Oreochromis niloticus: one gene and its partner. The protein of the gene in region 2 purifies or fractionates together with the protein of the main gene of each other region. This does not show direct contact. Links are inferred from orthologs where the notes say so. Each region holds a gene or a part of one and is shown on either strand. Other genes may lie near its edges.

What was found. Proteins that work in one complex are often made in the same cells at the same time.
Region 1: the proteins of bcap31 (region 2) and cyb5a purify together in Homo sapiens (co-immunoprecipitation; 4 studies listed by BioGRID and IntAct, with this or other methods). This does not show direct contact. The link is inferred for Oreochromis niloticus from reciprocal best matches to the Homo sapiens genes BCAP31 and CYB5A.

The regions. Positions count from the first base shown.
Region 1 is NC_031974.2:98,844-105,963, reverse strand, and holds the start of cyb5a (cytochrome b5), read left to right. Parts: upstream 1-3,914; 5' UTR 3,915-4,059; coding exon 4,060-4,194; intron 4,195-7,120. Other genes in the region: lg9h18orf63 (uncharacterized protein C18orf63 homolog), read right to left, coding at 1,637-1,715, 1,923-2,047.
Region 2 is NC_031984.2:4,572,518-4,580,642, reverse strand, and holds the start of bcap31 (B-cell receptor-associated protein 31), read left to right. Parts: upstream 1-5,008; 5' UTR 5,009-5,165; intron 5,166-8,125. UniProt on the Homo sapiens protein: Functions as a chaperone protein. Is one of the most abundant endoplasmic reticulum (ER) proteins.

The DNA.
Region 1 (7,120 bases), on a different chromosome or scaffold from region 2:
GTTTATGGAGTCAAAATCTATAAATCAGTCACCATCACACGAAACCTGAAGCACCCGAAGCTACACAAAAACATCGCACACACACCAAAGAAAACAAAACAACCACAGCTATCTGTTTTTAAAAGAGCTGAAAAACAGCTTCTGCTACATCAATTCAGACTTAAATCTAACTAGCAAAGACATCGTAGCACAGCAGCTGACCGGAGGACCGGGTGAGGATCCAGTGCTTGTCGTGAAACCTCACACATATAAACGACATCACGAGCTCTGACATAAAAGCAGGAAGTCTCTTTCTTGACCCAATCAGCACACAGAATGATTCAAAGGAGAAAAACATGACTTTGAGTGGATGTGACGGATGTGACATGTAACACAGTCGTCGGTCACAGTTTCTGTGCATTTATACAGAGATACTAACTCTGTGTTTGGAAGCTGGCGAGAAAACACGATTCAGACATTGTCTTGATTTCATAAAGCTCCAAATGTCCAGCGACTAAACAGGCACCTAGGATGTATCCTGGTCCCCTTACCCCCTCCACTGCCCCCTTCCAGTGTGGAGGACGTGGGTCTACCCTGAACTTCTCCCAACAGGCCAAACTCCTCACAATCATTTTAATGCTGAGCCCAGATGCCATATCAGAGGAAGCTCATTTCCAGCCTCGTATCTGTGATCTGTTTTGGTCCAAAACCCACAGCTTGTGGTCACAGGTGACCGTGGAGGAGGGCACAGAAATGCAGGGATACCCACAGATATGCTTTCACACTCAGCTCTGCATCACTACATCAGTCCCTCTCCCCCTCCACCCTTTTCCAGCTGAGAAAAGTGTGGAGTTACAGTTACACCAGTCCGAGCTGGTGGTCGAGCCTCAATGAAGCCAACAGAACCACATCATAAGTAAAAAGCAGAGACATTGATCTTGAGCCCACCGAACCCTCCGCCAAGAAATTCATCAAGAAATAAAATCAGTTCAACCCTGGAGGGGGTCCGACACCCAGCATGACCAGTCTGCCTTGTGAACCAAAGTCTCGCTGCGGTTGTACAGACTGGACAGCGTCCACCAGGGGACACCCGACCTTTCTACCACTTTCACTGGTAGAAAGAGCCAGCCAACCCAACGCTGTCATTCTGTCATCCTGGCTCGAGCTGAACTAACAGTGACTTTTAAAGAGAGACAAAAGCACGTGAAGGAAAGCAGTGCGTTTAATCTATAAAACCCAGTCTATCTTGTTTTCAGTGCTTTGGGGCTCAAATTTTCACTGAAATTAAAACCTGCTTAACTGGCCTCTCTTACTCAATGCCATCAGGAGTTCAGGAGAATGCAGTAGCCATGATTTTCCAATCAGCCACAGTCCGCCTTAAATGAGCTCAGGCTCAGAGAAAGCACAAGCTACTGTGGATTATTTTACTGCTTATTTAACTTAAAATAAGTGAAATTTATTTTATAACTTTTCAGGAAATTACACTATGCAACATTTTCTTTATAATGGCATTTGTGCACTTTCATAAGGGAAACGACAACAGTAAGTGCCTCAGTGTTAGTTTGATATGGCGAACTGACATCAGGGTTGAAAGGTGGATGCTTAAAAGTGTAGGAGTGTGTGTGCATGTGTGTGTGTGCATGTGTGTGTTCCTTACAGCTATGACCACTGTGATATCAGCGAAGGAGTCCAGAGCAGGAGCAGCCAGAAGATCAGAGAACAGCAGAACCAGCTCCCTGTGAGAACACACATTCAATGTTATTTACAGATGTGTGCATCATTTAAGGTTCTACTGGCTCATCAGTGCCTGAAAACCTGCGTCACACTTGTCCTCCCTCATCAGATGTGCATAAATAAACCTTTCACATGTTTAAATTAACTTTCAGCTCTGGCTGTTTGCTGTGGTGTGACACTAACGGTGGCCTGTCCTCTGCACCGTTCACCTGCAGGTCTTGATCTGTTTGCTCCTCAGCTCCTCGCCTTCATCCTGCAGAGTCAGGGTGACGCAGACCAGCTGCTTTGGGTCGGGAAGACTGAGGAAATACAGGGACTGGTGGCCTCTGCTCATCCTGCACACAGCTGACACAGGGAAATGACCAGAGTCATAACGTGAATTCAAAGAGCCTCTGTGAGGTTCATAAGACACAACCAGACAAAATATACTTTAGATAAGCCTACAGCAGCTGATTCTCACTCCAAATATGACCAAACAGACACGTTTTAGGTTTCGAAATGACAGTTCTGTCAACTTAATGATCTATTAAGTCCTTTAATTTATATTTACTTGTCAAAAGTTCCTACACAGAAGAAAAATGCTCAGATAGCGTTTAGGCCAAAGAAAATTTTATAATCTACAAAAAACTGTTGGCTAAAAAAATTTAAGGGTAAGAGAAGAGGATATAATTATAATTTAAATAAATAATAATAAATAATAGCTTAATGTTGATCCATATTTATAGTTTGAGTTCAAATTACTTAAAATCATCTTTATAACCGCTTAAAGACTTACTGCAAACACAAAAAACACAATAATCATTTTTAAACGTTAAGCTAAAGTTTTAAAGTTTTAAAGTTGTCACATTGTTGTGCCTCTGACCTGAAAACTATAAAAGCTAATGCTATTGATAGGCTAGTAGCAGCTAACGCTAAGTTAGAGCTGTGCTTTTTTTTTTTAGCATTGTTTTAAAATTAAAGTTAATATCTCAGTCACTAACCTTGTTCTAATGCTTACACTACAACAAAATAAAACTTATCTTCTGCTGGGAATAGTTTTATTAGAAAGAAACATTTCAAAAAGCGTAAATACAACATATAAGGTTAGCAAAACTCTCTTTAACAGTAGTCGAAGATGAGTGAGAGAAGAAGAGGACTCTCACTCTTCTTCGTTTAGTGAAATAAATCGTTTCTATTGAAGATGGGGTGCAGTTTATATGTGTATGTTTACAAACTTCATATTAATAACTATTTAATAAAATGCATATTAAAGACTCCTTAGCAGAACAAGTGGAGCATGATGCCTGATTAATGTTTTGTCTGATTTAAACTTTTTTTTTTTTTGGCTGCATAGTGATGAGTTGTATTAATAGACGAACTTTGAGTTCGGGTTCGAGTGTTTTCCCGCCGCAGAGCCGCTCCAGTAACAGTCTAAATTTTCTACTCTGAATGCCAATTTATGACAACATTAACAAAGTTATGCAGGTCAAATGGGATTTGGGACTACAACCGGATGTCCGGCTGCCCGCTGAAACGCTCAGATTAGGAAAAAAATCTCAGTACGTGGGCTACGTGAGAAGACCCAACCCGTTGCGTGAGAAGTGAGTTTCCTTGACAGCCGTTGAACTCCAGCGAACTTTGCCCTCGTCCTCGCCTATAGCCTCACTGATGATTGGCACGGGAAGAGCCAATCACAGACGACCATTATCCTGGAGGAGGGAAGGAATAGCCAATAGCATATTAGGAGGGCGGTAGGGAGGGCGGTCTCCGCCAGTGTGTCAGGAACTTTGAGACATCATGAAGCAGCCTGTAATAACTACGACCACAACGGAAATTACAAAGCAGTATTTCATAATAAAAGCACAATGCAGCATAATAATAATAATAACGACATAAAGAAATAAAACGTATAGGTTTAGTACACCACCATATTTACATTGAAATATATAAGCTATACATATCAGGGCACTTATTTGAGGAATCATTTGAAGCATTATGTTACTTAACTTTTATTTTATTTTGTAAATAGGACATAAAACTGCATGTATAGCTTAAACATGTATAGGTTATGAAAATAAAATACTTCAACTTTTTGCTGATAACTGCCGAGCTATGCATTCTTTCTGAAGAAGTCCGTTATACTAACCGGAGGGGGCTTTTATTTTGGAGGCAGCAGCAGGAGGCGACACTGAGCTCAGGTAAATTCAGCAGCTGAGGTCTGCCCAGCGCTGGAAGTTAGTGTGGACTCTCTCTGGGTTAAATGTCGATGTGTTTTTGTGGACTCACCGTCTTGATACACTCCCTGGGATTATATAACCTCGGACAGGCTGCTCAGCCCTCAGAACTCGCTCCCACAGCGTCGCACAGATGGGTGAACAGAAGAAAAGCTCCGAGGGAGTGAAATACTACAGACTGGCAGAGATAGAGCAGCAGAACTCCTTCAAATCTACGTGGATCATCATCCACAACAAAGTCTACGATGTGACCAAGTTTCTGGAGGAGGTGAGCTGAGTGTCTGGGTGTTGAAGGTGGTGGGGGTGCAGAGGTATATGTGTCTGTGGAAATCAGCCAAAACAGGAAATGAGGAAACTAGACACCCTGCGCTGAGAGGGAGGAAAATCCAACCGAACCGCTTTTGAATGCATGTTTAGCAGCTTTTAATTTCACAGTACAGACCGGAGCCTTCTCAGTAGTGCAGGGGTCCCAGGAAGGGCCCCAGAGGAACCCCGACAAACTTAAACAATAAGTCAAAGGTCAGATGAGAAGTATCCAAATCAGTGCAGGTGTCTCAGTTATAACGGAGACGGGATTTGTTTGGGTTTTGTGGTTGTATGGAAGCCCAGAAATGCCAAAAGACTCTGGACATAGATGGATGGGATTATTGATTAGAAACTGAATGTCTGCGTTTTGTGGGACTGTCAGACTGAACGAGACTTTTAGATTCAATCCTGGATTTTTCATTTTTAAATGATCACGTTTTATTGTGATCCTCAACAGTTTCAATTTCTGATCAAAAAGGTTTTAGTGACAATAAATGATGGTATTGATCTTTGCATTGATCAAAAGCCTTTAAACTGGCCAGACACCAGCTTCACTGACCAATGTCTGTCTGTACCTAATGAAATGGTGTTTACTGCTGTTCGGGACATTTAGTGATGATTTCTTTGTTTCACTGGAACAAAAATGGGAATAAAACAGCAAAAAAGCATATTTCATAATAATAATAATAATGATAATAATAATAATAATGTAAAATGTAAAAATTAAATTAAAACATATTTTGGCAGATTTACTTTTTAAACATTGAACTGTAAATCTGAAAGGACTTTTTTCCAGTTGATCAATATATAAAATAAATCCTTCTGACGAAGGACGCTCAGCCAAATTCTAATATCGGCCTGATATCTGTATTTAAGCAAATTAAAAGGGCGTTAGCGATGTCAGCGGCTTATTTATCTGTCAGAGGTCGCATGAAAGAGTTTCAGTTTAGTTGCAGCCCCTGAGAAGTTATTGATTATCGTATTAAACCTGAGAAATAAAGCTATCCCTGCAAACCTGAGTGATTCCTCATTAAAGCCAAATATTAGCAGCTCAAGCTGCTCAGACCTGAGTGTTTCCTGTTTTTATGGTCCCCCTGACACCAAACTCATTGTGTGTGTTTCAGGCTGTTGGTTTTGTGATGCTGGGCACCAGTGATTGGTCAATAACCGTACTATAATGATCGTAGCATGTGCATGTTTATATGTCTGTATGTGACCTATTTCCTCCTTCACTGTTGGGCCAGTCTGAGTGAAACCATTCTTATCATCTATGTGTTTTTAAAAACGATTTATCACAAACACCAATACTTTTGATTTTCATATCCAACCCTCTGTTTCTGTTCGTTTCCTGTGTTTAGTGTTTGTCACTAAACTTTGTATCCACTGTGGAATTTTCTGTTCCGATTGTTGAGCTGACTGATTTTGATTAAGTTAAGGTGAAGTTACTCTGGGTACCTGCAACATTTAAATAAAAGTTTTAGACTCAAGTTTAGTAGTATTAGAGAGTATTAGAGTAGTATTAGAGAGTATTAGAGAGTATTAGAGTAGTATTAGAGAGTATTAGAGAGATGACCCTGTATGCAGCACATGGCAGCAGTGGGGAGGAAGAACTTCCTTTTAACAGGAAGAAACTTCCAACCGAAGCAGGCTCAGGGAGGTTTAGCCTCTTTGGCCCTAGAAAACATATGAATGAGTAAATGCGTCTGACTGCCTCTGATTGGTCTAGAAAAGGTGTGATGATTGATATAATGAAGTGCTCCACCTGGAGCCTGGTACCTGTCCGTCTGCGTGCAGGTTTATTGCAGGTTTAACGTGCTGCTCTGAAGCACAGAGCGATCTAAGGCCGTAAACATGGATCGCTTGAGTTTGCATGCAGCAAATGTGACTGCTGCACACACTGACCCCAAAGCGTCAGCCCCACGACCCTTCACCTCCACCTCCATTCAGTTTTACACCGTCCCTCTGCTTTCAGATATCGTCAGGCTTCAGTTTTCTGCTGATTCACTGGGATGAACTCTGTCACAGTTTGCTCTCTGGCTTTGTGCTGCAGACTCTGGTGAATCATTGGCAGGTTGCCGTGATGGAGCTAAAGGGGGGGGCAGGGTTTTATAACATGTGACTACACAAAGAGAGAACTCGCTCTGACTCACTTCAGATCTAAACCAGATTAAAAGTGTTTTCATTGTTAATTTAATCCTGGAGACGTCAGCATATGTGTGGAATTATTCAATTAAAGATGAACGGCAGGAAGTTTTTAATCCAAATCAGAAATATCCAGGAAACTGGATTCACTGGTTGAAGTGTTCACACCCGTTACATACAGATAATAAGCACTCGATAGCAGAGCTGATTGGAGTTGATGAGGTTAGCATCAGTTACATGCTGCACAGCTGTCCATGTTTGCTTTGCATGATGAAACAATGAGCATACCCCGGGTAGTCTCTCTTTTTTCTTTCTGTAGACTTATGAGGTTTTGTGGTCACATGACAGCTAGTCACATGATGTGAATGATTTGGACATGTAACAGTGTAGAGGCTAAAGGTCTAGGGACCAGTCTGCAACCATCTGCCAACCTCAGGTCACTGGGAGAAAATGATTATTCTCCAACTGGTTGGCCAAAGGGTGCTGGCAGACCTGAAGGCCAGACATTGACTGCCTGGAAACCACCGGTTGCTAGGGAAAAAATGTATTCACCAACCACTTCCTTGTGATTTCTTTGGTTGCTAGGCTTGCAGACCGCTGTGTCACCTGTAATGTGATAGACGCTGTACTGTGTAAACAAAAGGTAGCACCCTTTGAAACATGGCGGCTGCAGCACTGCGGTGGAGCTTTTATTTTGACAGTGAACATTCTCGATTTCCAGTTTGTGCCACAGTTTCAGGTTTCAG
Region 2 (8,125 bases):
TCACTCTGCTTTCATTAAAGCATCGTTCCAGATTATCTTCAACTGCTTTCTTAATATTGTTTCCATTTCATGCATCATGCTGAGAGTTACAAAGAGAAAAAAATGGTGTAAGCTCCCCTACAGTACACAACGTCCTAAATCTGTTAAACTTTAGACAACATTAGTATCTGAAACAGTAAATCCTGTCAGCAGTCTTGCAGGGTTAACAGTTTGGATAGGTTGTTGCTATAGTTTGACTGAGATGAGACAGTAAGAGCTTTGCACCTTGCAGGACTTAAATACCGGAGTACCTGTTCAGCTCCTGCAGCCACCGCTGGACCCAAGTGCAGACACAGACCACAGGAAGAGCTTAAAGGTTTATTAACAATGTAGAAATTTTGCTGTAGAGATCATTTCAGGGCTCCTCTTAGAAGTGGAGAAGAGAGGGCTGCAAATTTAACAGGTGAGTGAGCAGGAAGCAGGTAACTGATCTGGTTTTGAATGAAAGTCCAATTAATTCCAAACAGGTGCTGAGACAGTCCAACTGAGCTGTGAGAGAGCACACCAATAGCTTCCTGGAAAAGGAGACAAGCTGAATACCAAGAAACTAGACCAAGAGGAAGAACTAAATGAGCCTGATGTAACCACTGAGACGGCTGTATGATCAGGTAAAGCTGGAGATGACGAGTGCTGCAGGTGATCAACAGATGTGTATCAATGAATTACACAGCACCATGTGGACACTGGCCCTCTCAGCGATCTCCACCATCAGGCCGGAGACTTTATTGTAATTTATAGTTTGTGCAGTTCACCTGGTAACAACCCTAATAGGGTTTATGGTTAGGCTTTGCTTTTGCTTTAGCAACATGCTAAACAGGCTAATAACCTTTAAATAAACAAAAGAAAAAGAAGATGCCATCTTTCAAGTTAGGTCACATATATTTAAACGTTTTTCTATTTCATGTTCAAAACAGGACAAGACTCTTACCTCTATCTAAAGTTATGCATTTTTACATAATATGGTGCCATTTTTTGAGCATTTCAAATTGCTTTACATCAATACAACTGTTGAGTCACTTCATAATTTCATTTTTGAGATGCACTAAGTTTCATAAACTGCAACAAATTCCAATTTAGATATTATTGTGCACAATGTGCAAAAAAAAACAACATGTGCATCAAAGGAAACTATTTACAACAATTTAAGTTCTAAGTGTCCCAGGAACTATACAGAAAGGCACAAAGTCAAACATGACTTTCAATAGTACCAGTTAACCTTTGAAAGGCCCTTTTAGGGGAAAAAATATATTTCCCACCAAAATGACGTCACTTTCAGCTTCGCATGTAACAGTGAACATGTGATAGTTCCTGCTGTCAACGAGATGATGTAGGAAGTGCTGTGAACAGATCAAATCAGCAAAGCCTGTTTCTAGGTTATAATGTTTTTATTGTTGCGTATTCTCTTCATGCAATTTTTGCAGAGCCATCAATGGACTGCTGTTGATGTTGAATGCACGATATGTCAGTACAACTCCTCCGTTTTCATATGCAAAAAAATAATTGCTCTAGCTTATTTGGCTGCAGTTCTACTGAGAATTAAAAATAGTGGCAAATGGGATCGCCGGCGCTCCCGTGGGCTTCAAAGGGTCAAAAGGAAATAACTTTTAGTTTGAAGCTAATCACTTCTGATTCCAATTTGTGTCACATTTTCTCAAGTTTCACTGCAGTTCTGAGAGTAATAGGTGGTATAAGGTATAAGCTAAGGGCAACTAGTGACCAAAGCAATCATAGGGAGGTTTTTGGTGCATTACACTCTGTGCTACTGATGTCACCTTGCAACAGCCAGCAACCTCCAACAACCGCTCGCTAACTGGGAGGGCTTACAGTGGGCTGGAGTAATCTGCATTGGCGGTCTTGCACCTTCAGAGTGAGTACAGGTAAATCTGAAAATGCATAATAGTGTTAAATTAATTCTTTTTTTTTTTGTGGGTGAGGCTGGCACTGCTTCCTGTGACATGAAGCTATTTGCTCAGTAGTAACACAATAATGACAGTCCATGGCTGCCTACATTTTTAGCATATCCTGTTTTTCTGGTGCAAATGTAAAGTTACTTCAGTATCTGGCTAGTGCTGCAGATAAGGAGTAACAGTTTAACAGTTCTACTTCATTCTACTTCATACCACATTAGCTTCATAATCTGTGTCTAGTGTTTAAAATTACTGTTGCATTTTAGTTTTAAAATAATTATCCTGCTTATGAAAGATGTTACGCTAAAATTCACTCTGAAGGGGTAAAAAGGGGCTGATATGGATGGCTAAATGATCAATACCCCCACTCCTATGGTGCATGAGTTCAACAAAGGTCCTCACAAAGATATAAGCACAAACCTTTGTGTGTGTGTTCACTATAATGACTTATTAATCTGTCCATCACTCATCCGCTCGCTTTAGCCACTTTTAAAATACTGCACTTTCAGTCGGGTTTCAATTGGCTGTTTAGAAAAAGCCATCATCCAATGAAGCATGCTGCTGCCTCTGTGTGTTTCTACTCCACCCGACGACTGAAGGAAACCTTTTAAAGAGTTTAATGTGTGATTTAGGATGTCTGAGCTGGGGTGAGGAGGAGAAGGAGGGAGGGGGAAGAAAACCAGAGCGAGAAGAAGAAGAAAAAGAGAGAGTGGTGGAAAATTCTAAAAACAGACAGAGAGGGAGATAAACAGTCTTTATGAGCGCTGACATTTTTATGAAGCAGAGTGAGTGTGTGTGCATGTGGTCTTGTTTTTCTGTTTTTATGGAGTCTGAGACTCTGTGTGTGTGTGTGTGTGTGTGTGTGTGTGTGTGACCGCACACTTTGCTGCCCTCAACAGCTACTGGCTGGTATAGCAACAGAGGTACTTTTTGTAAATTTCTATTTAAAAATAAAAGATAATTTAAAACTTTCCAAAAACAAATATCAACAGAATGTAACAACCAGTTAATATCATTTCATGGCTCAAATGTCTGGTATAATGTTGAATAGATCTGAATCTGAATTAAAAACAGGCCCAGGCTAGCTTTCATGCAATACCAATGTGTACCACAAGAGGGCACAGCAAGTCAATGTAAGCATTATTTAATTAGTGAATTTATTATGAGCACATCTTCATTTATAATGTGGACCTGGCAAAGCTGCTCAAACAAGTCACACATCCACTAGTAAAATAAAAAAAAACTGCATAATTACGTCAAATCTTAGTGCAGCATATGCAGAAACACATGTACAAAAAAAATGTCTAGCAAGGTTTATGTGTTGTTGTTTTTTTATTTTATTGATTATTTTTTAAGATAAGATAAGATAATTCTTTATTTTCATTGCACAGTCATACATAGTACAATAGTACAATGAAATTGGAAAACTGTCCCACATCGGCACTACGTACAACACAACACATCACAACACAACACAACATGACACAACACAACACGACACAACACAACACAACACAACACAACACAGTGACTTAACTTAGTGTCCTGGGTGTGCACAATCCCATAGGATGCTGCGTGCCCTCTTGAGACAGCGAGTGCTGGACAGGTCCTTCAGGAAGGGACGAGGATGTCCAGTGATTTTTTGGGCCATATTAATGACCCTCTGAAGTGCAAAGGTGAAAAAATCTAATATATAAACAAAATTAAGAAAAATTCCTACCTTTTCTGGGACTGATTCTTTAATTGACTGAAGTTAAAAACATGGCCTGTGGTCTGACTAATCAATATTTTAAAATCCTTTTGATAATCACGGATACAACGTCCTCCAAGTTAAAGAGGAGAGGGACCACATGGCTTATTAGAGTCCATTTTTCCTTTGGTATGGGTAATATGCACCTCTGTGAAGGCGCCATTAATGCTGAATGTTAGTAAAATAACAAAAAACAAAAATGCATGTTCTAAACTGGTCCGACTGTCCTCCAGACCCAATGAAGACATTTATTACATTATGAAATATGACAAAATGTTAAGCAGCTGTAATATCCCAAACATTTAAACCATTGTGATGACTGAAGGATCATGTCAGAATAAAAAAAACCCAATAAAGTCCAGTATTTTCAAAGGTGTATATTGTCTTTTAATGATTTCTAAATTATTCCATCCTATTTTTAGTTGTTTTTTTTTTAAAGTCAGCTGTAATTTAGGCCTCATGACATGAAAGTACTTTCATTTTGAATAAAGGAAGATTAGTAAGGATTATGAGAAAACATTTTAGCCATATGACCCTGCAAAAATGCCAATGCAGGTCTTTATCCAGTCACAGGCCAATGAAAACAAAAAAACAATACAATTAATGTGAATTTGATATACTTCAGACATAGTTGTTTGCATTTATATTATTTAAATAAATATTTTTTGAATACAACTTCCACATGTAAATAATTACCTGTGGAAATAGAACAACAGAGAGCAGGCGCTTGTCGTTGTTTTGAAGCAGGCCTGATTTTTATGGACAGTGTCTCCCTCTGTTGGATAGAATAAGGAACTACTTATTAAATGAGCGTTTAATCTGTCTACTACATATTTTATATGTATATCGTATCTGATACAAATAAAATGTAACATGCTACAAAACATGCTGGTCTAAATTTAAGTTAAATTTTTTTCAGAGATTAAAATATCATGTGCAGAGACTACACGCAGAACGAAGTATTTCATTAATTCATGGCTTATATGCATACACCTCCAACAATATGTTGTTATGAGGGTCATGTGTACTAAAAAAACTAAAATAAAAATTTACACAATAAATGGTGAATTTAAAAATATTCAAATTAATTGCAATGTAATTAATTATCACTTTAAAAAGCAATGTATGCTGCATGCATATCCTGCACTAAAGGAATTAACTGGAATTAGCCTCATGTTTTTTTTCATTCAACAAAAAATGTAATATTGCGTGAGGTACAGAAAGATAATAATTATAAATTCATTAAATGATTAATATAGAACAATAAAGTGACGCAACGATAGGTCACGTGCTTCCGCCCCGCCGGCTCCGTGTCCAATCATATTTCAAGATGAGCTGGCACTAAAATACCCGGAAGTGTTTACAGCAGGAGGCTAAACTAGCAGCTAACAGTAGAGTCAGTGGAGAATTGAAGCTCCTGGAAGTGCAGTGCGGACACATCTCCTCCCCTGTGTGCGGTGCTTGTTAAGGTGAGTCCCACCTGTTCACTAATGATCAGCACCCCGATTCTCTCCAGCTTACCGAGGCTAACTGCTCCTAGCAGCAACCAACAGTTAGCTTCAGCGAGTGGCGCGAAACAAACGGCTTGTTTTTGGAAACAAGCGCTTGGAATAGATTAAAACAGAATGCTCGGTTTTCCAGAAAACTGAACCTTCAATAATCAGCTGAGTAATTCTAAAAGAAAACGTAACTAACAGGGGGGAAACTAGCTAGCATGCTAGTTAGCTAATGTAAAAAAAAAAACAAAAACAAAAAAACCCAAAAACAAGTTTAATTACTTTCCAGCACATAGACAGAACCTAGTTCGTTTTATGGAATTTAGTTCCAGCAGATACACAGACATGCAAATTTATCAGCTCACTGGAGGGTCTGCAAATTGCGAAGATGTGAAATGAGTGCGGGTAGGAGCGTAAAGTTTTTAGGTCAGGCACTTGAGAGTTTTCAGGAGTTAATTTGTGTGTCGCAGCTGGTAAAATGTACTGACAGTGAATCTTTGTGGTTTGGTTTGGTTTCTTGGCTGAAGTGAGCTGTAACAGGGAGCACAGTGTTGTGGGATCGATGAGGGGCGTTATCAGTGTTTTGATGTGTAAGGAGGCGTGATGCTCCGCTGTGTTTCTGCAGTTTTTGCGGAGCCGCAATGACACAGCTGTTCTGAGCTGCCATATCTGAAGCAAAGCAACCCCCTCGAGTGCTCACACTGCACACAACCAAAGGGGAAAAAAAGAAATCACACTCAGATGCTTTATTCGGTTTTTTTAGCTTGTGTCTTTTTCACTTATTGTTGTCAGGCATCGTCTACAAAGACGTCAATCTCAGAAAAAGGAGAAGCCTCCGGCCTCCACCCATCGGGCTGCTCTAAAGTGGGCTGTGTTGCTTTTCAGTTTTGTGGAACAATTAAATTAGTTTATTAGATTTATTCTCAGAACAGGATTAGGAGTGCATTTTTAGAAAAATGTCATTAAGCTTTGCTGAAAGACACTGAAAATCCACTTTCATAGGGTTGTAACATTTTTATAAAGTATGATCTGTGAAAATCTGAAGTCTTCCACATCAGCAACATGACAGTTAACCATTTACATTTTTTCTTTCTTTAAAATTTCGTGCAGAACTATGTGAAAGTCTTGAGCCACTCCTTGCTTCTTTTTCTTTAGTTTCCAGAGAGTCAGACTTTTTCAAAGTGGTGTTAAAGTGATAGTTCTTCGCCAAATAACAGAAATTGTTGCCTCAAGCTTCTTTATATTGTAAAGTACAGACAGACCCAACAATAATACAAGAAAACAGAGGAAACCCCAAAAGTCCTATGATCCCCTCCTATGAGCAAGTGCTTTAGAAACCTCCAGCAGAACCAGGATTCAGGAGGATCGGCCATCTGCCTCAATCGATTGGGGGTGAGCGGACGAAGACAGGACAAGGACATGCTGCGCCAGAGATTAACAATAACTAATTAACAACTTGGCAAAGAACCCATTTTAAATTGTGTCTTTGGGCACCAATCACAAAAACAAAACCTCACAAAAACATATCATTTGTTCCCATTTCTTTAGTTCTCTGAAAAATACCAAAGATAACAGTCTGACAGGCATAAAGAAGTATTTTTGCACCAACAAGGTGATTCCCAAAGAGCTATTAGCTGATGACTTGGTACACCTCAGCAAGGTGTGCAGTGTCCTTAAAAAAAAAAAAAATGTGAGGAAACTGGGCAAAAGTAGTGTCATTCCTAAAAAGCCATTTCTACCAGGTGAATTCAGAAATGGTCTCAATGAAAGGCTGGTTGTCAAGAAGCCACTATTCAAGAAGGGAAACTGGGACAAAGGTCAGAGGCAGATTACACAAGAACTTGACTGAAAATCAGTGGCAGGAGGTCTTATGGAGCAATGGATCCAGATATGATTTTTTTTTATATATATATATATATATCTGGAGGTTGAGAGAGCAGTACAACAGTGAGTGTCTACAGCCATCTGTTAGACACAGTGAAGACTCTGTCATAGTTTGGAGCGTTTCAGCCAGCAGTGTGTGGTTCACCACTGAAACAAAATACATGTCAGTCACTGACATCTACACAGCCCGCTGGCTCAGCTCTGCTGAGGCAATCATGAGAGACTCCACCCATCCTGCATCTCACCTGTTTGGCCTGCTGCCCTCAGGGTGACGCTACAGGTCCATCCAGACTCAGGAACAGTTTCTTTCCGCAAGCCAGTATAGTGAGCACAGACATGCACACACACACACACGCCCCACTTCAAAACACACATCTCTCTCATGCATCAACGCATACACACAACAACATACACGTTACCACCACCGCACAAGACCAGTGAAATACTTCAGAGCAACCTTGGACATCTGTATAAACTTTTTGCATTTATGTCGTTTGTATTTTTATATTTGTTTTTACTGTTACTTGTTCTGAATTTAATCATTGACTCTAAATTGCCCTCAGGTGTGAATGTGAGTGCGAGTGGTTGTCTGTCTCTGTGTGTTTGCGATGGATGGATTTATTCTAAATGCTGCTAACAGGAAGTTGCTTCTGTATTCGTTGAATGTCTGATGTTTAATGACAATAAAAGGATTTGGATTCTGATTGGCCTCCTTGGAAAGCAAATCTCAACATTATTGAAGTGTGAGTTCCATTCTCATAGAGAATGGAACAAAAATCAGCTAACATCCAGAACAGCTTTGAATTTCCTGGAGAGAAATTCCTGAAGACCTGAATGACAAGAAAGCTGACTAAAAGAGTTTATGCTGTGTTCAATAATGAAGGCAGTTACAGCAAATATTGACTTTCAAACTCATACAAACATGTTTTTTGCCTTTATATACTTATGTTTGCATGTGTTTTGTATCTATAGTATTTCCAATTTTCCTAGCAAATTATAAAGAAAGAGGGTTGGCTTAACACTTTTCCCCAGTACTGCTGCAAACCAGT